Coturnix japonica: one gene and its partners. The protein of the gene in region 4 binds, or shares a complex with, the protein of the main gene of each other region. Links are inferred from orthologs where the notes say so. Each region holds a gene or a part of one and is shown on either strand. Other genes may lie near its edges.

Evidence for each region.
Region 1: IQCD (region 4) and EFCAB2 share a complex: the UniProt entries of both Homo sapiens proteins name them as parts of the nexin-dynein regulatory complex. The link is inferred for Coturnix japonica from reciprocal best matches to the Homo sapiens genes DRC10 and DRC8.
Region 2: IQCD (region 4) and DRC7 share a complex: the UniProt entries of both Homo sapiens proteins name them as parts of the nexin-dynein regulatory complex. The link is inferred for Coturnix japonica from reciprocal best matches to the Homo sapiens genes DRC10 and DRC7.
Region 3: IQCD (region 4) and GAS8 share a complex: the UniProt entries of both Homo sapiens proteins name them as parts of the nexin-dynein regulatory complex. The link is inferred for Coturnix japonica from reciprocal best matches to the Homo sapiens genes DRC10 and DRC4.
Region 5: IQCD (region 4) and TCTE1 share a complex: the UniProt entries of both Homo sapiens proteins name them as parts of the nexin-dynein regulatory complex. The link is inferred for Coturnix japonica from reciprocal best matches to the Homo sapiens genes DRC10 and DRC5.
Region 6: IQCD (region 4) and DRC1 share a complex: the UniProt entries of both Homo sapiens proteins name them as parts of the nexin-dynein regulatory complex. The link is inferred for Coturnix japonica from reciprocal best matches to the Homo sapiens genes DRC10 and DRC1.
Region 7: IQCD (region 4) and IQCG share a complex: the UniProt entries of both Homo sapiens proteins name them as parts of the nexin-dynein regulatory complex. The link is inferred for Coturnix japonica from reciprocal best matches to the Homo sapiens genes DRC10 and DRC9.

The regions. Positions count from the first base shown.
Region 1 is NC_029518.1:31,158,854-31,162,334, forward strand, and holds the end of EFCAB2 (dynein regulatory complex protein 8), read right to left. Parts: intron 1,996-3,481; coding exon 1,953-1,995; intron 1,849-1,952; coding exon 1,782-1,848; intron 1,005-1,781; coding exon 874-1,004; 3' UTR 501-873; downstream 1-500. UniProt on the Homo sapiens protein: Component of the nexin-dynein regulatory complex (N-DRC), a key regulator of ciliary/flagellar motility which maintains the alignment and integrity of the distal axoneme and regulates microtubule sliding in motile axonemes.
Region 2 is NC_029526.1:1,949,762-1,953,261, reverse strand, and holds part of DRC7 (dynein regulatory complex subunit 7), read right to left. Parts: intron 2,961-3,500; exon of another isoform or gene 2,804-2,960; coding exon 2,591-2,803; exon of another isoform or gene 1,677-2,590; coding exon 1,566-1,676; exon of another isoform or gene 1,268-1,565; intron 860-1,267; exon of another isoform or gene 734-859; intron 584-733; coding exon 473-583; intron 1-472. UniProt on the Homo sapiens protein: Component of the nexin-dynein regulatory complex (N-DRC) a key regulator of ciliary/flagellar motility which maintains the alignment and integrity of the distal axoneme and regulates microtubule sliding in motile axonemes.
Region 3 is NC_029526.1:16,813,775-16,816,122, reverse strand, and holds the end of GAS8 (dynein regulatory complex subunit 4), read right to left. Parts: intron 1,062-2,348; coding exon 996-1,061; intron 718-995; coding exon 568-717; 3' UTR 501-567; downstream 1-500. Other genes in the region: 5-hydroxyisourate hydrolase-like, read left to right, coding at 1-124, 341-430. UniProt on the Homo sapiens protein: Component of the nexin-dynein regulatory complex (N-DRC), a key regulator of ciliary/flagellar motility which maintains the alignment and integrity of the distal axoneme and regulates microtubule sliding in motile axonemes.
Region 4 is NC_029530.1:9,594,600-9,598,679, forward strand, and holds the start of IQCD (dynein regulatory complex protein 10), read right to left. Parts: upstream 2,801-4,080; 5' UTR 2,149-2,800; coding exon 1,528-2,148; intron 433-1,527; coding exon 199-432; intron 1-198. UniProt on the Homo sapiens protein: Component of the nexin-dynein regulatory complex (N-DRC), a key regulator of ciliary/flagellar motility which maintains the alignment and integrity of the distal axoneme and regulates microtubule sliding in motile axonemes.
Region 5 is NC_029518.1:27,141,813-27,145,897, reverse strand, and holds the start of TCTE1 (dynein regulatory complex subunit 5), read right to left. Parts: upstream 2,801-4,085; 5' UTR 1-2,800. Other genes in the region: AARS2 (alanine--tRNA ligase, mitochondrial), read right to left, coding at 3,381-3,545, 3,919-4,029. UniProt on the Homo sapiens protein: Component of the nexin-dynein regulatory complex (N-DRC) a key regulator of ciliary/flagellar motility which maintains the alignment and integrity of the distal axoneme and regulates microtubule sliding in motile axonemes.
Region 6 is NC_029518.1:96,158,169-96,161,668, forward strand, and holds part of DRC1 (dynein regulatory complex protein 1), read left to right. Parts: intron 1-14; coding exon 15-152; intron 153-786; coding exon 787-873; intron 874-1,069; coding exon 1,070-1,192; intron 1,193-2,765; coding exon 2,766-2,905; intron 2,906-3,242; coding exon 3,243-3,377; intron 3,378-3,500. UniProt on the Homo sapiens protein: Component of the nexin-dynein regulatory complex (N-DRC) a key regulator of ciliary/flagellar motility which maintains the alignment and integrity of the distal axoneme and regulates microtubule sliding in motile axonemes.
Region 7 is NC_029524.1:13,164,054-13,167,765, reverse strand, and holds the end of IQCG (dynein regulatory complex protein 9), read left to right. Parts: intron 1-110; coding exon 111-185; intron 186-1,393; coding exon 1,394-1,525; intron 1,526-2,266; coding exon 2,267-2,368; intron 2,369-2,840; coding exon 2,841-2,978; 3' UTR 2,979-3,212; downstream 3,213-3,712. UniProt on the Homo sapiens protein: Component of the nexin-dynein regulatory complex (N-DRC), a key regulator of ciliary/flagellar motility which maintains the alignment and integrity of the distal axoneme and regulates microtubule sliding in motile axonemes.

The DNA of each region.
Region 1 (3,481 bases), on a different chromosome or scaffold from region 4:
GAGTCCAACCCCCCTGCCAAAGCAGGCTCCCTACACCACGTCACACAGGTAGGCATCCAGGCGGGTCTTGAATATCTCCAGAGAAGGAGACTCCACCACCTCCCTGGGCAGCCTGTTCCAGTGCTCCGTCACCCTCACTGTAAAGAAGTTCTTCCACACATTCGTGCAGAACTTCCTATGCTGTACTTTCATCCCATTACCCCTAGTCCTGTCCCCACACACTACTGAAAAGAGACCAGCCTCACCACTATGGCTCCCACACCTCAGGTATTTATAAGCCTGGATCAAGTCCCCTCTCAGCCTTCTTTTGTCAAGGCTAAACAGACCCAGTTCCCTAAGTCTCTCCTCATAGGGGAGATGCCCCAGGCCCTTCACCATCTTTGTGGCCCTCCGCTGGACTCTTTCCAAGAGATCCCTGTCTTTTTTGTACTGGGGAGCCCAGAACTGGACACAGTATTCCAATCAATGCCTCATTAGTTAAAACACAAACAGGGATCACATTTAAATACAAAAGTTTTATCATAGTAGCATGCCCTCACAATTCAGTCATCTTAAAATACTCACTGAGCATTTGTTTTCCCAGGTCTCATTTTTCTGTTAATCTTGCAGCAACAACTGTAAAGTCATTTCTTGACTCCATTATTTTTCAAACCAAATTCCATGATTCCTTTTCCAGATCTCACACAATATTTCTGTCAAGAACTCTTATGCTAAGTGTGAATAGATTTCAAAATATATACAGAAACTAAGGAAATAAAACTACACAGATTTTATTTTAATTATAAGTGCAAGGTCACACACTGTGTTTTGTTGTACTTGAAATTTCAGCCAACTGCTAAGCTACACTGCTGTTACCACAAGGCACCTCAGAGTCTACTGTGGGAGATCATCAGCATCTTCTACTAACAACTTTAAAATGTAGTCTCTGTAATGAACAGCATCTGTTTTTGGATCTATAGCACTGGAAAGCATCTCCTCCATTTCTTCCTCAGTAAACGGTTCACCTGAAAAAGAAAGGAAAGTAATGCTTTTTCTTGGTAATTATTCTTTTCAGGGCTGACAAATTACTACTTCTCTCTTGCAAGGATATTTTTTCAGGGCTTATGTGAAGGAAAAAAGAATCCAATTCCTTCACTTCTACAAATGCAGAAGTCCTCAATGCCAAGCCAGCTAGTCCAAGAAAGAAGACAGGGCTTGGATCTTTTGATCCACATTTAGTTCACAAGCTCCAAAACACCCAGTTTTGAACACGGCATGCTTGTCATTTGCTACTTGAGGCAGGCAGGTATGAATCAGCCATGCAAGAAAAGCAGGCTCTTCATGGGATACTGAGAATTACACTATATACAACTTAAATCTGGTCTTTGAATCTCCTTGTTTGCACAGGACACTAGAATTAAGATCAAGATAATGCAAGAATGAATGAGTACTGAAATTACCTGAAACATTTGGAAATCTAAACTGAAGTTTTAGAGTGAGGAGAAAAGGAGTCACATCTTTATGAAGCACATAAATGTGCACAGAATCACAAAATATTCACACAAGACTAAACTATGACTCCATAACAATAAGATCTTACAATATCTGCAAAAAGGCAGATACATGTTCTTTCCCTACATTGTTCACCAGGGAAATGTTCTAGTCTGTAAGACACTCATAAAGGCAACAAGATTGCTTGAAGACTCCTGCAAGTTTTAGCTTGAAGAATTAGGACCACAAGGTGCCATACATATATGTAATATTTATTTACATAAACAGAAATATTATAAAAATCATATTACCTTCTTCAGTCATATGTTTTACCAGCTCCTCTTTAGTAATGTATCCATTTTTATTCTCATCTAAAGCCTTTAAATAAAAGGGATAAAACTGTTGTGCTTCTAATCGTATTACATCAAGAATCAGCTACTTTTTTCCCCAGCAATTAGGTACCTGAATACTTAGTTACAGACCTCAAACGCATGTAGAAGAACATCTTCTGGAATAGGCCTGAAGCTGAAACCGTTGAATCAGAAAAGAGTTAAAGTTTGTAAGGCTGTTGCATTATTCTGAAACAATAAAGTATGAGTTCTAGAGAGGGAAAACCTACTTTCTAGTTTGTCTATGAAACATTTAATTCCAGTTTGACTTCATGGAACTTCCCATATCTTCACCCCTTGTGTTCTTCATTGTATTTCTGTTTGATTCTCCTTGTGCTAAGGAGCCAAATGAGTTGCTTTTGCATGCCTGAGCTGTCTGAGTGAGTTAGCAGGAATCAATAGTTGCTGAATCACTCCACATAGCAAATGCAGGGAACAGAAAATTGCCAAATCAAGAAAACAAAGTTTTGTCCAGGTAGGCCGGTAGCTAAGCAACAGATCACCTAGTGGGACTTTGACAGTCTATTGACGAAAGGCAACAGTTTCACAGAGAAAGCAGCAGTAGGTGCATATGTGTGTCTAAGCGCACCTGATTTCACAGCTTTCTTTTTAAAATGCTTGGTTGTTTCATCCAGACCCACTTCAGTCTTTTTCTATCTTAAAAACACAGTTCTTTGTGATTCAGATCTCAAGTGCACTTGAAAAAGTGAACTATAAACATGGCACCAAAAGATAAATGTGAGTCTTGACAAGCCTGAGCTAGCCTGGGAAAAGTGTGTGTTTTTGTGTGTGTGTTTGTGTGGATGGGGTGGAGGAAGAGGAGAGAGCCCAGGGCAGAAAGGCATTGCTTTGTGAAGTGTTGAACACCAGCGTGAAGCCAGAAATGGGCAATGAAGGCCAAAGAAGGCAAAGGTGCAGAAGACTGGGAAGGCAATGCACTTGTGCCAGCATGCAGGAACCAAACACCGATTGGTCCCTTTCCAGGCATGGGCACAAGGATTCAACACAGCCCCAGCGTCCCATACATCAGGATGTTGTGAGACAGTTGAGGGAAATCCCATAGCTATTTCATGTGTAGAACACCAAAAGAGCTCTGTATACAGAATAGTTTCTGGGTTATGGACAAGACTAAGTCTCCCTAAACCCTTGGCTACTACCTTTAAAACTCCCTATAGGTAAGATTGCTTTTTAGTGCAAAATATCAAAAGAGCACAAGTTCCTGTGTACATCCAAAGATTTGTATGTACTTTTGAATAATGGACAGCTTTCTTTCTCCAGACTTGTAGATCAGCAAATGTTTTAGACCAGCAGAGTGCCAGTTGTGTATATTCAGCTGTACCTGGCAGACACTTTGAGACATGAACATGAAGCTGATTTATACAACTTATTAAAAATACGCTTTAACAAACTGCTTCTCAGCAACTGCAACTCAGATAAAGTAATGGCTGGGACCTTGTTTGTACATAAAATATTTTCAGAGTTGAAATAGCAAAATAATTCTGATTCACACTAAAAATACAATAGCTAGACATTACCACAATTCATTATTATAAGCTGATATTATTTGTACCAATAGTACAATGCAATTTTATGTAGACTACATCATTTTGAACTAAAATCTC
Region 2 (3,500 bases), on a different chromosome or scaffold from region 4:
GTAATTCCCTGAGAGAGACCCTGAAACAAAATTGCCTTTGCAAGTGATAATGAGAACAAAATAAACCCCAACTGATTCATAGAGGAATGAAGCATGCAAAGATGTGCACATAGACCTAGTGAAAATAGACCTGGCTAGAACGATGCAGCTTGGACTCCGTTATCCCCTCCCCCCCCCCAATCCCTATTATTATTAAAATAATTAACAAGGATTAGTTATTAAGTTGTTATCTAAATACAGTAAAACAACATCATTTTTTTCCTCTCATGTGGGGTTTTCCAGAGAGCCAGAAGGTCATAACATGGCCATGTTATATTTTCAGCTTGTACCTGCTAGGGATTTAATAACACTTATAACTCTTAATAACACTAAAAGATCTTCAGAGCTAATTTGTCAGACAGAAAACGCTTACTCTGGATTTAATTAATTTGCATGCATGTAATTAATACTGGGATTAGTAAAGTCCACCTACCATGGCTTCGTACTCTTGTCTTTTCTTTTCATTCCTCTCTGTGTCATATATTGAAGCTGACAATTTAATGTCTGCTTCTTCACTCTCACGGGTCTCCAGAATCTTTAGCACCTTCCAAACAATCAGAAGAAAGACAACTCAGCTTCCCCACTAAGTGACAGCACTTCTACATGCTAACAGAGCAGCTGCTTGCGTACCACAACTGTAACACAAGGTTAAATATATCCCAGACCTTTATGAATAACGTTCATATACTGCTAAGTCAACCTGATAGTTTTGAAACTGTGATGACGGCTTTGGCTTTTTGCTTTGTCTCTACAGGATACACAGCACAAACAACAGGGATGTTTTGTCTGCAAATACATCAAGACTAAGAAATCTGGTGAGGTAATTCAGGAGGTCACAGTTTACACTCTTCACAATTCTGAAGAACATTGCAAGCTTTTTCTCAGCTATTCTGAATATCCTGCATGCTGTTATTATGCGTTCCTCCCCAGGGGGTTTTTCCTCCACAGAAAAACAATTAAAAACCCAACCAAATCCAATAGCTCTGTCTCCACTTGCTGGAATGACTGAATTTATCCTGAAGTGACGACAGAAACTTCTAAGAATGTGAATTTGTTACAGCAGTCACAGTGTAACAGTACAAGCAATGTATTTTGTGGACTATTTCCCTACAGTTGTTCCGACCAAAAAACCCCCACAACTTTGATATTATTGTTATGGTTTCCTGGAAATGTCTTGCAATTAGATTACACTACATACGACATCCTTTCTTTTTTGTTTCATTCCCAGGCAAGAAAACAAACAGATCTACTCCTGGATGCCTCAATTCACACGCTGTTATTTCTCTCTGAAACCATTTCCATCCCTGAGGACAAACAGAGCAAGACTGGGAAAGTGTGTCTCTCTCCATATACAAGACCTGTACTGAACAAGGGATGGGTTGCAAACTTGGTCATTCAGCATGCAGACCAGCTTCACAACACCACAGTTTTGTTTTTATCACAGCCTAAGCTGAATGAGGCTTCAGCAATCTGTTAAATGAAACCAGTTTCCACTCCTGACAGCAGTGAGGACAGCTTCCTATTACCTCTGCTTGAGATCTCCAGACTTGTTGCTTCATCCGCTTCTCTTCCTCTGTTAGCTCTTGCAACAATTTATACAGGGGGACCAGCTTTGTGCGCTGCTCAGGGAACCCCGCCTGGAAGCAGATAAGCTAGTGAAAGGCAGTATTGTTGTCTGGGTGCACGGGACCAAGTACTTTGCAAATATGAACTGGCACCATTCTGCTAAGTCAATATAAGGGCACTGCTTTACACCATAAAAACATCCAACCCATTGTCAATAGTTGACTGCAGTTCACCTAGACTTTGAGTCCATCAGTAATGTCAGCCAGATTGCATGTCCTGCATCTCTTAGATGATGTTCCTGTTATTTGGCTGAGACTGTTTATACAGGGTTAGAGATGAAACAACAGCACTCCAGCAACTGCATCTCCACACCAGAAATATAAATTAAGAAATATATATTCGTTGCGTTTATATCTTTGTAACCTGATTTCCTATGTGTAACTGTGCAGCATCACAATGTACAGGCAGACATCAGCTTCTGACTACAAACTCACATCAGAGACATTAATGAAGTGACCCCTCCATGAATGAGAGAATTTGGCCTAATGACAGCACTTTCCTTTTTGGGGATATCTTTTATTTAAGGCTATCTGTCTACCTACCTATCAGCAATAAAGAAAGCCTCAGTACCTTGCCTGAATTTGCAGAGTGAACTGGGGGTGATTTAAACAACAGTGTGACCCAGGCTTTGTGATCCATGGCAGAATTTGAGTTAAAATCTGCTCTGCTTCTCTGCTATAGTCTCTTAAAGAGAGAACAGAAAAGGGAATTTCAACTTCCCTGCAACGAATTTGCAGGATTGAGACAAGCAGCAGCTGAATCAGCATCTTGCAAGATCTCAGTGGCCATATAAACTACCTGATAAGCAGATGGAGGAGAGGCTGAGCGTGAATATGCCATGCCATGCTTCCACTGACATTACACCTATCCTTTGTGTCTCCATGACCCAGAAAAGCACCTTGATATAGGTAGATTTTCTCCATACCTGGTATGTGACGCACATATCTGGGGTCATGATTTCACTTTGCTTCCTATAGCTCTCTGCTGGTTTGAAGAAGTCCTTCTTTGAGGCTGTGATGTATTTATTCTTGAGGTGGTATATCAGCTGGATCACATCTTCTTCGAGCAGAAAGACACGTTCTGCTACATCTTCATCAGCAGGCTTTTGTAGGTTTCTGTGGAAACGCTCCATGATTTGCTGAATGAAGAGAAAGAGATGGAAGTGAGTTGGACCACAGAGAAAAATGGCAACATTTGCAGAGAGTTAAATCAAAGCTCAAGACAAAAACTGGGCCTTTTTGCTACAGCTACTCCTAAAGCCTTGGCCCACGGTTGGACCCTGAGAAAAAAAAAAACAACTACAAAGCTGCTTAAAGCAATACAGACTCCCATTTGTGGAGCTGAGCATGCTCTTCAAGCTCGAAGTTACCTTGAGATGCATCTCAGACTGATGGAGCAAGGTAAGCTGAGCACAACAAAATATCCCAGATTCCCCAACAAAAGGAAGGAGTCAAAAAAAGCACCTTGGGTACTGACCCAAAGGCCATAGCATGGCTCTGCCGTGGCAGATGAAGTGTCTGAGCCGTACCAGCAGATGTCAGGTTTTCTCTCTCAACTGTTCTCCAATCCAGACTTGACTGGACAGAGGAACCTGTTTGTAACAGCATTGTAGGACACTTTGTCAGCACAGCAGAACAGTAGCTTGAGGCCAGAACAAAACAGTTGGGAGCCTTGTGAAAATTTCCTTCCCAAATCACAGTTAAGCTATTTTTCTTTCCTCTGACACACACTTTCCAGGTCATAATTTCCTAGTTTCATTCTAGTTCTCAATGTGTTTTGAGACAAATGCACACACTGTGGCTCTGTCAAGCAAGCAATTGAAAGACACAACAGCT
Region 3 (2,348 bases), on a different chromosome or scaffold from region 4:
AGATGGGCGCTGTTTGCCCCTCCTGCCCCCTGGACAGGCTGAGGCTGGCACCTATAAACTGCACTTCGAGACGGCGGCTTACTGGCAGGGCCTGGGGTACACCAGCTTCTACCCCTTCGTGGAGGTACCAAAGGGCTGAGCAAGGGGGCTGGGGCGCTGCCAGGAGCCAGCTCTGGTCACTGCAGGAGCTGCAGGGGGTTGGGTGCTGTGTCCTCAGTCCTCAGCCCCGCTCCTGCTGCACCGCCAGCACTGCTTACAGGGATGCCCAGGCTCCAGGCTGAGCAGGGGCTGCTTTTGGCCACGACTTTAACCCACCCGCCACCTCCCTTCGCTCCCCCAGGTCGTCTTCACCATCACTGACCCAGCCCAGAAGCTGCACGTCCCACTGCTGATCAGCCCCTACTCCTACACAACGTACCGGGGCAGTTAGGGCAAGGCACATCCTCACTCCAGTGCCACGGGGAATCTGACTGATACTATTAAAGGACTCAAACAGCACCACCAGTCTGAAAATATTTGCTTTCCTTCGGGTCGATTGCTGGGAGCAGCTGTGGGTGCTGCGTGGTGTCACGTGGGCACTGCCACGAGTCCTGCAGGGCCCTGCCCCACTGTCTGCCCCACCACTGGGCTCTCCAGGGGTTTAAATCCCAGGTTGTCCAGCGGGATCCCAAAGGATGTCAGCTTTGCCTCCATTGTCTGCAGCATGTCGTTGTGTGCCTGGAAGAAAAATGCTCCATGTTCTGGGCTGCCACCCCAAAATCTGGCCCTCCCTGCCAGGACATGGGCACCCTGCAGTCTCCTGAATGGTGGGGGCCCCCCAACAGGCCTTGTTGCACAGGGAAATGAGGGAATGGGGAAAACTGCAGGCTGGGCCAGCAATCCAGGGCACCAAACAGAGCTGCCAGCCTCTGCTCAAGGTCTGGAGGGAAGGCATCTGCTCTTCCTTCTGCTCCCCCAGCCCCAGGAACACAGCATGACTCAGACCCCTTCCTCACCTTGCAGGCTCGGGCCAGCTGGTACTGCAGGTCCTCAATGGTGGCGTTTTTAGAATTGAGCACATCCTGCAAGTGGAGACAGATGCGTTAGACTTGGGTTGCTGGCACCAAGGGCACATCAGCCTGGGGCCACGCTGCAGGCCAGAGCATGTGGCACAGAACACTGAGCAGATGCTTGCACTGAGACATGGCTGGGCAGACAGTCACCACCCTGGAGCCAGCGTTGCCAGGGACAGTGAGCCCTGGGCAAATGCAAAGCACAGGGACCTCCCAAACCATGAGCAGGAATGGCAGCAGAGCCCCACCATCAGCATCACCTGCCTCGCTGCAAGGGGGGGTGGATGGCAACACCTGCTCCTGCAGCACCTCCCCGCCACCACAGCACCAGGGGAATTACAGGGAGAGTCTCCCCAGGATGACGCCGGTGGCTGGAGGCAGCTGAGCAAAGGAATTCAGGGACCCCAGCAGCTGTGGGAGAGCGCGACGCCTCGACGCCTTCCCAGGAATGTGTTTCCTAGTCTGCTGCTGCGGCACCTGCTTGTAGGTGACAAATCCACTGTCCTGTCACACAGACTGAAAGCCTGGGGCTGCTGCTGCCTTCATCACCAGAGCTCCCTGGCAAGACGGAGTCCATGAATCCATGAGCACCGCCATCACCCACTGAGGGGACCAGGAATGGAGCAGCACAAGCAGGAGGACACCAGGGAAGCAGCGGCAAAGCCGAGCAGGAAACCTGCATCCTTTGTGTCTCCAGCCAATGTGAAGCAAATGCTGCTTCTCCAGTTACTGCTGCTGCACGCTCTAGGAATGCGGGTCTTTGAGCCGCCACACCGCGCCAAGGCTCTCTGCTTATGTATTTTTAGCATGCCAGACATTGCAGAGCTGCTGGGAACCTGTCTGTGCTGCCTCTGCAGCCAGCAAGGCCAGGAGGGGCACGGCTGAGGTTCACCAGAGGTGGCTCCCTGCACACGGAGTGCCCAGGGTCGCTGAGATGGGCCGTGCACACAGCCCACAGCTCAGCAGCACATCCTAATGCCACATGGCACCTGTCAGCACAGAGACCTGAGCAGCGCTGCCTGGGGTCATTCTCCTTGAAACAGTCTCCACCTGAGCGAGAGATCAGTGCCAAACGCCCACACGCTCCACTCTCCAGGGAGAGCCGGAGTGCCCTGCGGCACCACGCAGCCATGGGTGTGCTGGGAACAGCTGACACAACAGTCACAGCCCGGCTCTCCACATGGCGCAGCCAACAGCAGAGCAGACTGAGGTGCTTTTGCAGTGTGCTGATGCTGGGGACTGGCCACACAGCCAGGTATGTAACAGTGCAGAGAGAGGACAGGGACTGTCTCCTGC
Region 4 (4,080 bases):
GGGAACAAGAGGAGGAACTGTGAGCAGGCGACTTCCCCAGCAGCACTGCAGGCTTCCTTTCTGCTGAAATCAGCAGAGCACGAGGACAGCACAGGTATATTCTGACAAACAGCGTGTGCATCCTGCCAGGAAATGGTAGGAACAAAATAGACACTTGCAGCCACACCAAGCAGCTCTACAACAGTTCTGACCATTTACCTTCCTGAGAGCCAGCTCTGATACTCGATGCTCCAGGATCAGCTTATTGAGCTGTTCCTCCAGCTGCTGAATGTCCTGCTGTAGCCTGGCACACTTAGCCTGGGAAGCTCGCAGCTCCTCTTTCTGCTGTTTTTCACCTTCCAACTTGATCTGCAGGAGGTTGTCCTTGCTGCATTCATCTACAGTTTCCATGCTGTTCTTGAGATCTTTGATCATATTGTCCTTGTTCTGGATCTAGACACAGAAAACCAGAAGGAAATGTCAATAGGGTGTGCAGGTGAAGCATAAAGTGGTCAGGAGGAAAAAGACACAGTCGCAAAGGTGGAGGTGATCTAAGAACAGGGACCTGGCACGACCAGATGAGGGAACAGAGTCAGATTTATGCAAGGTGCTTGAACCTGAGAATAAAGCCATAGAATGACCAGGCTGTACTGAGACTCACTGACACTGCAGGGTAAAGAAGCCGGCCTTGTCTCAAGAGGAGCCAAGATCATCCCTTTGGCTTCAGGTGAGGCTTGGATTGACTGCCTGGAGGACACAGCTCAGAGGGGCTGCCAGCAAGAGAGATCCTCAGCTGGGGGCAGTGAAACACACTTGTTATGCACTGGTAAGAAAGTGAACGTAAAAATCTCATGTGTCTCAATTCACAGACCTCATCTCCATCAGAACCATTCGGTGCAATGAGCACGAGACAAAACCTTCCCCTCTGAGCCCTCCTGCAGAAAGAAGACAAGCACACACATAAAACAAGGGATGGCTTGTCAGGAATCCAGGACTTGAATTCTGGCTCAGCTCATGGACTCACAAAAAGAACCTGGGAAATGCCCATTAGCTAATCCATCCAGCTGCCTTCACTGGAAAAGAAATGGTGTCATCACACATTCATTATAGATCTCCAAGGTAGCCAGTATTGGAGTTGGAAGTCTCACAAATGTTAGTTTTAAGAGCGAAGGTAGAGCTGGCATGAAAAACTGATTTTAATCAGAACAATCTCTCCCTGGAATGACTGTTCATCATGTCAGCAGCAGTGAATGGAGCCTCTCCCTGGCAGCTGGCACGGCAGCCCTGCTAAAATACTACTGCAGTCATTTGTGCCTGTCCTGCAGCTCCTTTTTAAGCTCAATAACTTGCTCCATTGAAGTTGGCTGGTGAGAACAGGTTCAAAACATGCCAAGTTTCAACACGAAGCATTCAAGAAACATTTCCAAATTCTATTTAGAATCCGATTTTGAAATCATTTCTGGAATCTCCCCTTTAGGACCTGTCAGAAAGGGCTTGTTTTTCAGCTTTTGCTTCAGCGACCCTTTGTCACCAAGCATTCTCATATACCTCCTCATCTCGGGTCCTGATTGCTGCTGCCAGTTCTGCCTGCAAAGCTGTGATGGTTTCAGTGTTCTTGTTGATCCGGAGGGAGACGTCTTCCACCAGCTGAACTGTTTCTTCCTCTTCCTTGGGACTAATCAGGAGTCGCTCAAGCATAAAATTCCTGAACTCCCTGAAGGCTTTGATAAATGCTTCAGTTGCTGGCTCTCTTGCCCAGACTTCATATTTCAGAGCCTTACAAAGTGAAGGGACGGCCAAGAAGAGCCTGAGGATATTCCTAACAGAACATTTCAGTTGTTGTTCCAGCAAATGGAGAGCAACCCTTTGCTCCTCCTGTTTTGAGATGTCCCCTTCTTCAGCAGCAACAAGCAGCAGCTCCATTTGGTCTGAAAGCTTCTTGTACTCCATCAGGCTGGTTGTGATCTCAGGTCCCAGCAGGTCAGCAAACCTGTCCAGAGAGCCGATAATAAGTGGGATCAAGGAGCTCAGCTCCAACTTGGCGATGGTCTCATCCAAGACAGATAGGATTCTCTCTGTCTCAAAGCAATTAGGTTTCAACCGGCGTGGATCTAAGCCCTTCATGGAGTCCACTGTGGTCATCGCCTTCTCTGCAGCCTCTGTTCCCATTATCAGGATCTTGTTTCTTTCCTTCGTGTCCTGCACTGATACTCAGAGCACAGCTGGGCTCCCTGCTGCCACACTTAAACACTTAGGAGTGAATTGTTTTCACGTCTAGAAGGGACACAGCATCTCCTACACGGGGCAAGGCCCACAGTGAGAGACCACTGTTGCTTCTGCTGCAAAATCCTCTTTAGTTTTGATCTCTAAAAGGAAAATGTGAGGAGAATATGAGAGAAACAGCGTCCTTAGGGTGCTGGGGGGGGTGTCATATCACATGCTGTCAAGCACCCAGGGCCATGAGCACCCCTGTGGGGAGGGGGGACATGAGGGGCTCCTGGCCTTGAAGCCGGTGCGGTGAGAGCTCCCAGCTCCTAAGCAGCAGCTGTGGCAGATCAGGCTGTATCTCTGCAGTGCTCCAAGGCTGTGGTTGGGGGCTCGCAGCGCCGTGCGGCCTCCAGCCGAAGGAAGGCCGCTATGGAGCCGGACCGTGCTGCCACCGGAGTCCCCCTGTTGCTAGGATTCCGCTTGTTGCGGGCTCTTTCCCGACACACATCACGACTCGAACCACTCAGCGCCTTCGCTGTCTTGACGGGCAGCGCTATTACTCAATAGAAAACGAGGAGAGGCCTTGACGTAGCTGTGTGGCCATCTTAGGGGCGGTGGCACTCGGAGTGCCATAGAAAGCAAAGGGTGCCCCGGGTCCTTGTGTCCCTGCAGCCTGTTTGGTGAAGGAAGGGATTAATTGTACACACAGCTCCGGCCAGATGCTGTCTGCTCGCTGTTACAGGTGGGAGCTGGGTCCTGGGCTGGGTGTCAATGCTGGCTGATGTTGGAATGTATCCTGCCCTTGGCTCCAGCCTCAGCCACCAGCACCCTCTGCTGTTGGATGCAGGCAGCAGAACTGCATGGAGGTGTCAGGGCATTGAGATCAGAGCATGTGATTTTGATCAGCGTCTCCCAGGCTCTGATGAGCAGAAACCCTTGCAGCAAACTCTGCACAACCAGGTCTGGGAATCAGCCAGACCCAGCGTGCCAAAGGATGCAACACAAGCACTATTTGATCACACATGTGTCTAGATCAAACTCAGAAGCTCACAAAATGACAATTTCTCCCAGTGTTTTCCAACAAGGAAGACCCAGTGCAAGCCACCCCAGTCTAACAACCTCCAGGCTCCTCCAAAGCTGTGCTGCATTACTTGCTTGTTGCCACTTCCTTGTTTTTCAGCACACTTCTTAGATCCACTCCATCCAGTTGATGTAGGCAAACACCAGCCCATCTCCAATGCCAGCATGAAAGAAGCAATTTACTGTCTGTCCTGTGTGTGCCTTAAGTTACCAATCCTTTTCCCAGTGAAGGATCCATTTACACCCTCGGACTCTCTGATCCAAGCAGCCATGACACACGTTTTGCATCCTTTCCAAAAAGGAAAGACACAAGCCCCAAAATATCTTCTATTGGCTTTACATTACTTTTCTATTGCCTCAGAGGAAAGCAATCCTTTGGAAGGGTTTTTTTCCCCTTTACACCTGCGCTGCTACCCAGACAGTGCCCCCACACCACATCAGCTTCATGTATATAAAAGGAGGAACACCCGACAGCAAGGGACGGTGTTGTTTATTGTTATAGCAGGCTGGCTTTCAGGAAGGATGAGCTGAAAATCCAAGCACGTAGATGGAAAACGCAGCTTTCAGTGCAGCACAGCCTGCAGGAGGAGCTCTCTAGATGTTCTTCCCAATCCCTTCTCACTCAGCAGCGTTGTGCTGAGTCCCTGTGCTCGCAGCCTGGCCGGCAGCAGCAGGGGCAGACGACTTTCCACCTCTGCGGCTGATCACCTCCAGGGATTTCTCAAACCTTTCGGCTGCTTTCTTAAACCGTTCTATTTTTATCTCTTGTTCTTGCACAAATTGCTGCATCAGCTTTTGGTGGTGACGTTCAAT
Region 5 (4,085 bases), on a different chromosome or scaffold from region 4:
CTGCAACCCCAGCCCTGTGCTGGGTCTGCTGCTCTATCAGAGAGCAGGACAGGGACCCATGGCTGCTAGGCTAGAGGGTTATGTAGCCTGCAGAGCCCCAGCTCTCATCCCATCTGTGCAGCTCTTCCAGCTAGGCAAGGCCTAATGTGTGTGGTTGGTCCTTCACACAAAGTCAGGTAGCTGCCTGGAATTCGGGCCGGCACTCACATGCGCCCTTCAAGGACCTTGGGGGTCCATCTGGACTTACAGAGCAGTTGCCTACTTGACAGCACCTGTTCACAGCAAAAAAAAACTCATCACTTATTAACTAGTTCCTGCTTTTCACTGTCCTGTGTGTGTGTGTGTGCATGCAGCCCGTGCTGTTTGGAGTTGCAACGCGTGCACAGAGAACTGCTTGCACCTTAGATCTCTAGTAAGGGAATGCAAGCTGCTATTTTGGCGAGAGATCTATATTTAAAACTCATGTTTCATCCCCTCCAGCTCTCCTAGCTGAGCACTGCTCTACCTACTGCTAAAATACAGAAAGATGGTGGCTATGTCCGTAGCATTGGATGCGTGTTGTCTTGTGGAATAAAAATGGCAGGAAGAGGATGTAGTCCTGTACACTGGGATTTAGGAGAATAGCATGGAATTTATTCTTTTAGGATCAGTGATGGTCCAGCACAGCCACATCTCAGAAACCAGCATTTCTACTGCAGCAGCCCATGCTACCAAACCGGTGCCTCCACACAGCTGCTCTTTGGTAGGATGAGATGCTTTCTCTCTTTCGGTTACATAGCAGGTTTTGTGCTACAGAGTTACAGCAAGATCACAACTTGGTTGTGCTGCAACCTTGTTGATGACCCATCTAAATCCCTGCAGGCTCAGAAAGAGGAAACTTTTCCTTAGTGCCTCTGCTCAGGACACCCAGGGTTTATTTCTCATGGTGGGATTGGCTCTGCCACCTTGTATCTGGGGAGCCACTCTTCCCATAGAATACAGGAGGGGGATAGCAGAGCTAGGAAGCCATGAAGCTGTGTCACTGCTGCCCACTCATCTCAGCAGGCTCCTTCCCCAGTGCTGAGAGCCCATCAGATCCTGCAGTGGAGAGGAGTCCTTCAAAAAGCCCCTGAGGACACCACCACTGCTCTGGAAGTCACTGCTGCAGCAGCCATTGGCTGGCCAGGTGAACACTGGTGGGGGCTTGACTTGCACTTTCTCTGCCTGCAGAGACATTACCTTGAAGGTCAGCACACGGATCCCTGCACATCAAGGGGTGAGGCAACAATTTACAAGGTGCCAGTAGTTTTAAAGTTGAAATTAAACAACAAAAAAAGCACAAAGGGAGGTTAAATCCATAAGGTTGCTATTGGCAAGCTCAGGCTCTGCTTTTGGAGCATGATGCAGAAGCAGCTCAGCCTCTCCTCCTCCTCACACACCTACTCTCCAGTACCAAGAGGAGGCATCATCTCTAGCAGCAGCTTTTATGAATGAGGAAGCAATCAAGAAAAGCATTTTCCCAGTAACACAGAGCATCCTTTCCCTTCCCCATACCTGGTACTGCTGTGGCTGGGATGAAACACAGCAGCTGTTCCACAACAGGCATTAACAGTATTTTTAACCGATGGCGTGAACTGTCCCAGTCATCCTGATGTCCAGGAACCTCGGCTCGCTGTCTCCTTTACTAAAAGCTCTACCTTAAACTCCCTGGATGGAAGTAATGATTAATGGAGGAGAAGGTCTATCCTCTTGCTGCAGATGTAGGGGCTGTCAGCACTATGGTGAAACGCAAGATAGTATGGAGCACCACCAACCTCATATCAATATCAGGCACTTAACCAAGTGCGAGCTCCTGCTCTTTACACAGCCACAGGTACTAAGAAAAGACGTGTAGGAGTGACACTAAGTCTTAGAATTGGGACTGGACAGCTGCTGAGATGAGGAAGGAAATCCCTCATCCTCTAAACACAATTAAATCCACCACCTTTCTCCCCTGGGTCAACTGTTGTTCATTGAGGAGAGGAGGCCGTGCTCACAGCAGTCATTTCCCACTATATCTTCTTTACTTTGCCTTATTTATGTGACAACTGAGCAACAGGCAAATATATCAGCCTGCTGAGCTTGCCCTACAAACCTAAGCTGAGAGTAGCAGCTGTGTGCAAGTGCACTGCTGTATCCCTCTGACCAAAGGGTTATTGCTGGGTCATGCACGTGAAGCTCAGTTCTGTTCCAGCCATGCAGCACTGTTAGAACCCTGCCTACCTCGGCCACCTAACAGTCTGCTCTCAGCTACCAGAAGCTTATTGTATCAGTCTACCAAATCTGCTAAAAATTCACTTCCTAGCTCATCAGCCTCACCACTGTGGGGGTACCCTTCCTCCATAGCATCAAACATCCTAACATAACTACCCTCTTTCTGCTCCTCACCCACTAACATCACTGTTCTTCCCACCCCCTAAAGCATGTAGCTATTGCCTCCTAATTCCACCACACCAGGCAGCCCTATCTGCTGCTGAAATTCATCTGTGCCAGGTTGCTGTTCTTGCTCACAGGGTGAAGCCTTTCTGTATCACTACCCAGTTGCACCTCCCTATCAGCTACCACCCATGACCTCTCTATTTAGGCCAGTTTGTAACACAAAGGTTTTCTGGCCAAGAACTCCAGGCGTCATTCTAACAATGGAAGTCTGAGGAAGCAACCTGAGAGGAAAGGATTTAAAAAGGAGCAGAAGTAAGAAATGTGTAAGAATGTGCACTCAGAGCAAAGAGGTGGAGGTCAGGATGATTCTGTTCCCTTTGTGCTTTAACAAAAAGGCCTGACTACAATACTAACCATTGCATAGGCTAGGCAAAAGGTTGTGCACACAGGCAAGAACTTCTCTTCCCATTTCTAAGTTACTGTAGCATTTTTATCAGGGACTGGTGTATCCTTTAGCAAGATGGGACTGCTTAGACTACAGCATATATTTATTTTTACAGCATATATAAGCTTTCTGGGCTTACAGGGAAAAAGGTGCGGATATGAAGAAAAACAAAACACCAACATAACATTAGAGGGATCAAACACTCTCCATCCTTTAATAACTTTGGGATACGACAGTCATGTTCTCAGAACCTCCCAGTGCTGGTCTTGTGGCAAGAACTGCACTGTTCCAGAAGCTGGTGCCTTCTGAGGCTCAATCACCATATACCCATGATGAGAACATACAGCGTTGCTCTGTCAGTGCTTTCAGGAACAGACACTGCTCAGCCCTGATGGCCAGACACCAAGTGCTCCAATGCAGTGGTTGCAGCAGGGCTCACTGTGAGAATTGTCAAACCTTCTGCACAGTATAACGTGCACTCTGCATCAAGTATCCACACAGCTTACAGCTGTCCTGCCACCAAAGCATCACACACATTTCAGAGTTTACTCTGAGCAAATTCCAGTGCAGTAGTCAGGGCTCCCTGCATGCCCTTGGCATTTCCACTGCCCTTAGCGACAACAGGAGAACCTCCTGCCTTGCCTTCCATCTGTGTACAGACAGCCACGGCCCAGTCAGCAGCGGAGAACATGGGGAGGCAATTCTGGGGAAGAGACACACACTTTGGTCTGTGGAGCACTCTGCAGCATGGAAGAAGGAACATCTTTCTCCCCTCACCCAGCCTGGACCCTCGCTACCTGGGGAAGACATGACTGAGAGGAGACTGAGCTTACGTGTTAGCTCTACATCCTACCACTGGGCAAACATGTCTTGGATGACCCAGGGATATTGGTGCCCAGCAAAAACTGAAAGATTATCTGGCCCCAGTACAGTCATCTTGGGTCATTCCTCAACATAACTCATCAGTGACACTGGGTAGAAACCCAAGAAAAAATTCAGCTGGGACCTAGTGAGTAGTGTACCCAGTCCTCCTCTGCAGGAAGGCTTCCCTGGGATTCTGCCAGGGTTCTGCTTACCTTGGACACCTGACAGGCACAGAGCACCTCCCCAGAATCCTGAGGGCTGAGCAGCAGGACTGATGTGCCAGGTGACTTGTCACAAAGCTGGTTCACTACCTTCATTAGGATCTAAGAGAGGAAGGAAAAGGCAGAGTCAGGAGACTGCTGCGTAGCTACCATTGGCT
Region 6 (3,500 bases), on a different chromosome or scaffold from region 4:
CTGTCCTCCTCCAGGAGCTGAAAAACAAAGATGAGCAATACGTGCAAACCATTAAGAAGCAGTCAGATGACATCCACCTGCTTTTGGAGAGAATGGAGGAGCAGACCAGGATGATGTTACGAACTTACCGTCACAATATCCATCAGATTGAGGTAGCCAGTTCATTCGGTAGAAGTAGAGTTCAGGGAGAAAGACTGCAGCTGTTCCCTTCTCCATATCTGTTGCCAAAAGGCCTCAGCCTCTTTCCACCAGCTGGGTTGATTACTGTCCAGAGCAGAGAGCTGATGTCTTGATGAATGAAGCTCAAATCTGGCCAATCAAGAGCACTGAATGATGCTGGGTGCTGAGGGGCTGCTTTATACGATGCTGTGGATGACTTTGGTTCAGCACAGAGAAACATGGTAACATTTGAAAGCTATTGCTCTTTCATGGCTGGTTAATTGTCTTGCTAAAAGCCAAGAAGGAGCCTTGTTGGTCATAATTCTTACCTTCTGCAGAGCATGGAAAGTCACAAATCAGTGTTGTTGAGCGAGGGTTCAATATCAGACAATGATTTCCATTGAATTCACAGAGCTGCCACCAAAAGCAGCTCTCATGGGTTAGGGTGACTTACAGCTGTCCCAGTGGGCTCACAATGTCAGATCTCTGCCATTGAGAGGAGACATCAGGCCTGTGTGTATGTTCATTAGACAGGAGCAGCTGTCAGTCCTCTCCTGGTGTGGACTAGAACGAGGCTGGCAAATTGAGGTGCCACTGTGATGGTAAATGGCTCTGTCTCCTTGGCAGAAAACTTTTGAGCACGAACGGCGAGAGCTGCTGGACAACAACAGGAAGAAGTGGGAGGAGGCCATCCAGGACCTCAACACAAAAGAGGTAAAGTCCCCATGAGATTTATAAACTCTGATGGTGGCTGCTTGTTTAGGTGCATGGTGGGCAGAGGGGCAGGTATTTCAGCCTGTTTTGCCAGGGAATAATCCATGCATGACCTTGCTTAGTGCTGGCAGAGGGAGCTGTGATCATGGGAGGAAGCTGTCACCTCTGATGGATGATATTCTTCTTTTGCCCTTAGCTGGAATACCTACATTCCCGTGTGAGCAAGATAGAAGAGTTTGAGAAAGAGCTGAATCAGCTGCGACTGCGGGATGAGGAGGAGTATAACAGCATGAAGATTCATCTGGAGAATGATGTGCAGGTACAGAAAGGGCTGGTGTGTGCCATGTGGTGTGACAGTTGAGCAGACCACCCTGGTTTGTTCATTGCTCTGGAGGGCAGCTGGATGGTGTGTCTGGTATCTGATCACCTCAGCTCTTCAGCATGCACAATCCAGCTCCATGCCAACAGCATGATGGAGCTTTTAGTCTCTCCTCTCAGTGGGATCCACAGCACAGTATCAATGTGCCTTTGGCTTCTAAGCGGTCTGTAGCAGCTCTAGGATCTATGAAGCAGCTGGGAGTGTTGAGGGTTTTGCTTCTTCAGAAGTCAAGTTTGGTAGGAGGATCAAATAGTGTGAGTGTTTTGACACCAGATCATTTCAGATCAGACTAACTGCCTCCCTTGCAAAAGTCCGTGGCCTAGGAGGTTTGAGTTTTTGCCTCTGACATCTAGCCCTGGGCTCATGATTTCTCTAGTAGCCATGAAGTCATAGAATCATAGAATGGCCTGGACTGAAAAGGACCACAATGATCATCCATTTTCAGCCCCCCTGCTATGTGCATGGTTGCCAACCACCAAACCAAACTGCTCAGAGCCACGTCCAGCCTGGCCTTGAATGCCTCCACTTCTGCTTCCTTGGCTAAGCAGAGGACACAACCACAGCTGACACCTTCCCTGCTTGTTGTTATTTGTTGTTTCCCATGCTGCATGGTACAAACAGATTTGCATTTGACTTAGTAAGGCTCATTGCTTATTGTGGTTTCACCCAGCAGGCAGCTCAGCACCACACAGCTGTTCACTCACTTCCCTTCAGTGGGGTGGGAGAAGGAATCAGGAAAAGGTGAAACTTGTGATTGGCATAAAGACAGTTTAATAGAACAGAAAAAGAAGGGGAGATAATAATAATAAAGAACATACAAAGCAAGTGGTGCACAATGCAGTTGCTCACTACTCCCTTATCCCCTCCACTTTTGTTGCTGAGCATGATGCCATTTGGTATGGGATATCCCTTCAGTGATTTTGGGTCAACTGTCCTGGTTCTTTTCCCTTCCAACACCTTGTGAACCCCTATTCTCCTCACTGTCCATGTGGGCAGCAACAAGAAGCAGAAAAGTCCTTGGCTCTGTGTAAGCACTGCTCTGCAACAACAACAACATCAATGTGTTATCAGAATTCTTTTCCTCCTAAATCCATAACATGGCACCATGCCAGACACTACAGAGAAAATTCACTCTGTCTCAGCCAAAACTAGGGCAGTCCCACATGATGTTTTCCTAGGAGGCCTGGGGAAATACAAGCTAGGAGCCGTGTCTGCAAGGTTTTGCAACACAAACAGCAGGTGAAACATTGCTGTCGCAAGGTCCCTGTCCACTTGATAGAGCAATTCCAAGGGGACAGTTCAGATTCTGTGACTTCATATTGATAACTCGGGCTGATATAGATTGTGTAACGTTCACAAATGTTTCTGAGCCATTTAGGGTGGGAGAAATGTGCCTGGGAAGCTGGGTTTGGAGTTACAGGTTTGGAGTTACTTACATTACTGAGTTATAGTCAGGCTTCTCTGTGTCCTTTGCTTACAGCACAGCTTCTTTCCATGTTTTCTGAATTGACAGAACCTGGAGAGGCAGATCCAGCATATGAAAGCTGTCTATTTGATCAACCAGGAGAAGCTGGAATACAACCTTCAGGTGCTTAGGAAGCAAGATGAGGAGAACACCATCATCAGGGCACAACAAAAGAGGAAGCTCAACCGGTAAAAAACCATCCCTGGAAAACGAACAGGCTCTGCTTTACCTGCTGCCATCTCCTAACATACCATTTGTTTTTGTGGAAACCATCACTAGCACAGGATTGAGCTCTGACCTGCCCCATCCCTGGGCAGGGGGAGAGTTTAGTCCAGGGCAGCACCATCCCCAGAACAGTTTGAATAATCTGGCAGTGACCAAACTGTGCCAACTAGGTGGGATTCAGTCAGGTCTTGGTGCTGGTCACTAGCAGATGGGTAGCTCCAACTCCCAAAGCCTTCATACATGTGAGATTTGCCCTAAAGTGCCTCTTTGGGAATCCCCAGCTTTGCTATCCCTCTCCAGGCTCAACAGCTTACTCAGTAATCTGAGAAAAAAACTGGTCAAACAAGAGAAGCAGTTCAGAGAGGAGAACCAGAGTCTTGTAGCTGAGTGCGAGCGCATCAACGGACGATGCAAGGATGTGCAGAGAAAGATGAGGTGGGCTGTGTTTGGAGGCCTGGCCATCCATCTGTGATGAGGCTTCAGAGCATTTGAATGACATACAGAGGGGGGCTGACTCATTTATGGACACAAAAGCTGCTTCTATGGGCTTTCTTTCTC
Region 7 (3,712 bases), on a different chromosome or scaffold from region 4:
CCCATCACAACGCAGATGTTTGAATGCATCAGGAATCCAACCAGCACGCATGTTGTGCACACGTATTTGCACCAACGCTGTCTAACATTTTCTGTCTGCATTGATCATAGGATTTGAAGAGGAAAACTGACGAGGAGATCCGAGTGCACGTGGAGGCTGAAAACTTCCTGAGGCATTCCCACAAGGTCTGGGTGACTTTCCCTGTTAATGCTTCAACTGGCAACAGATAAACATCACATTGATTCATTTCTAAAGAAAACCAATTATTGCTCCATCAACCCAACCGGGTTCCTGATCGTTGCTGGTTGGATTCCTGCTTACCCTCAAGCCCTTAATGAACCCAGCTGTCCCATATTTGTGATTTGCCACATTCACAGAATCACAGAACGACCTGGGTTGGAAGGGACCTCAAGGATCATGTAGTTCCAACCCCCTGCCTGGCAGGGCCACCAAACATACACCTTTACTAGATCAGTTCGGATACATTCGGATACACTGCCTTAAAATTACTGCTCATACAACGACTAGCATTGCTTATGCCAAAGTTACAGGTTTCCCTTCCCTCAAACAGCCACATTCAGCTCAATGTGGATTTTGTTTAAGCCATCTCTGGCGGTAACTGGGACTTCCTCTATATCCCAGAACCACATTTGATTGGTGTTTCAAGGCGAGTGGGCTACCTGAGCAGCAGCCTCTCTGCACTGACAGCAGCTGGTGGCCTCGCAGTGGCCCACACAGAAGATGACCTCGCCCCCATCTCCCTTGTGTGTCCAGCTGTGATGCTGTCACAGCACTGATGCTTTTCCTCATATTATTCCTCCATTCAAGCAGCGATGGCTGTTGCTATGGCGAAATCAGTCATGAACAGGAGGAAATCAGCAGCATGGTGCTTTCAGAAACACCTGCCGTCCTATTGATGTGAGAAACAAAGCCAAGTTCACAACCTGAGAAAGCACAACCTGAGAAAGCACAACCTGCTCTCCCTTGGGACCTCATTCCTGGTGCACTGAGTTTAATCCAGAAAGTGGCCAGAGAGACACGTGCAGGATAAAAGCTTTCTGACTGTGAAACTCCATCTCCTGAACTCTTCTCCCTGTGCACACACACAAAGAATGGCTCCTGGTTGTCATTTACTTCACCAGGATTGTGCACAAATGTAACCCCCCGTGCGCTGCCATTCTTCAGACCCAGACCAGTGCTGCTGCCCTCATGGTGGTCCCCAGCATTGTTACTCCTAGCACTGTGATCCTGCCAAGGCTTAGGTGAGAAGGAAACAAACTGTGCACATTTGATGGCATTCTTAGCCCCATCCTGAGCGCAGGCATGTCGCAGCAGTAAACCTTTCCCTTGCCACTCTTTGTACCCTGCTAAGCCCCACTCTGTCCCATTGCAGAAGGTGCAAGAGAAGCTGGAATACTGGATGGAAAAGTATGAAAACGACACAGACGCTAAAGATAAAGAACTCGACGACCTAAAAGAATCAAAGGCAAAGAACTTGGAAATGCTGCAGAAATTTGCCAGTGAGGTAAGACAGCAGCAGCTCAGTGCTGGCCCCTGCAGAACCGCATCCTGCCTTTTTCATACCATCATTCTGATAAGGAATGAAAGCCATGGGGAAAAAACAGCAGTCGTGAGGTATTGGATGGGACTTGAAGTTCTGGGAAGGTGTGACATCACCTGTGACATCAGGGATGGATGATGTAATTAATGCATGTAGTTAGAAAACCATTAACTGCAGGACTCTGACTGCAGATGCACTGCCAGAGCAGAACAGGCAGCAAAGTGTGTAGAAAAAGGGGGGTCAGAAGAAATTCACTTGTAGGCATTCCTTACTGTCACTGCTCTGAGAGGCTGAGACTGAGTTAGATGTTCCCCTGCCTGTGGGCTCCATTTTCACTCCGTTTGCTGTCATCTCAGTGCCCCAAGTGTTTTCACTCATCATCTGCTACCTGTCCTGGGGGAACGTGGATCCTTCCTACTAACATCTGTTGCTCGAGACCCCACCAACCAGCCATTTCACAGCACAGGATCAGAAGGTTAATTAGACACAGGCCATGAGCGGTTTCACTTTGGCAGCACCTCTCGGTGCCTTAGGACTGGTGGTGGTAATGAGCAACATTTGCCATCTGGATTCAGGGAAGATCAAATAAAGGAGGTGGGGGAGGAAGGTCTGTGTTTACCCATTAGCCGTGGGCTGCCGCGGGGCTCCCAGTGCTCCCTGGATGTGTTTTTCATGTGACTGCTGAACTCCTGTGCCACTTTGCAGTGCTGGACATTTGAGGAAACCATCATTGCTGACCGGGCACGAAGAGAGGCTGAAAGACGAAAACGAGAGCAGGATGAGCTGGAGTTGAAGAGCATCCTGAAGGTAAAAGGGGGAGCAAAGCTGAGGCAGTGCTGCTCCACCAGCAGCTTGGAGTTATTTGCACCACAGGCTTTGTTCAAGCAGAAAATGGCCTGAGAAAGTTGGCTGGTGTGAGGTGGCGCAAGCGAGGGACAGATTAAACTTGTTCCTTCTCCTGCAGCAAAGACAAAGGCTGCAGTGAACTGCAGAAGGGTTAAGAAGGAAACAAAAGACAAAAAGCCAGTCTGAGGGATGATGTGGAGCTGTGCTCATCACAGCAGCCCCTCTGCATGGGTGACACAGGAATGGAGTTACAGAGCTGCTCCCTTCCTCTTGCCACCTCTACAGATGCCCTTGGCTTACACATGGACACGTAGGCCCAGCTGCTGCTGCATGGGCCAGAGGTTCCGTCCTGCAGCTGAGGAGTTACAGGAGGGATGCTCTGTCCATTCTCTGTCCAGGTTCCCTCTGACACCTCTCTCTCTCCTGCTTCCAGCTGCAGGCCTGGTGGAAAGGTACAATGGTCCGCAGAAACCTCGGCCCCTATCAGAACCTGCCAAAGGCTCAAGACAATGAGCAGGTAGATCAGAAAGGCACAAAGGAAAAGCCCGGAGCAAAGAAAAAGACGCGCTAAGAAACCTGGACTTGGATGTACTCTGGGGCTGCTGCTGGGTAAGGCACTGCTGTCTGTGTCCAGCAGCACAAAATAAACCGTGGAATAGAACTCGGGCTGTTCTGGAGAACAGAGTTCATGACGCACAGTTAAGGTGAAGCTCCTGTAACTTCAGACCCCGAGCAGTCTTTGTACAGCAAGAACACCTTTTCCTCAGTAGAAACGGAAACTGCATTAAAACAGTGAGAAACACGATATCCTCTGAAGTTTTTTATACAGCTAGTGAGCAATTCTGCTAATGGCGCAGTAACTCAGCAGCACGAGACGCTCTGCCCTGAGAACCTGCTCCGCAGTCCCGCACAGCACGGTGCTGGCTGAAGCAATGGGGTTTGCTGTGGCTCCCAGTGGGGCAGGAAGGCAGGTCACCCACATCTGGGCTCAGGCAGCGCTCGCCCCGGTGTCAGTGGCAGCATTAGGTCGAGTCAGGGGAAAACTGCTGATGGTTTGCAGTGTAAACATGAGGGCAGTCAAAGCACGCGGGTTTCCATTCCCACAGTACTGCAGAGTGTCAGCACATAGACAGAATAGCTCTGAACACCCTCCTACAGAGGGAAGCAGCCATGGAAAAAGACAGCTGATGTGCCACAGCTGCACCCACCACCCTGTCTGCAACAGCCACGTGGGGAGCCCAGGCAGCAGGCGGGGTGCAATGTCCTGCTTCACTTAACTGAGGGGGCAGCCCCTGCTCTGACACT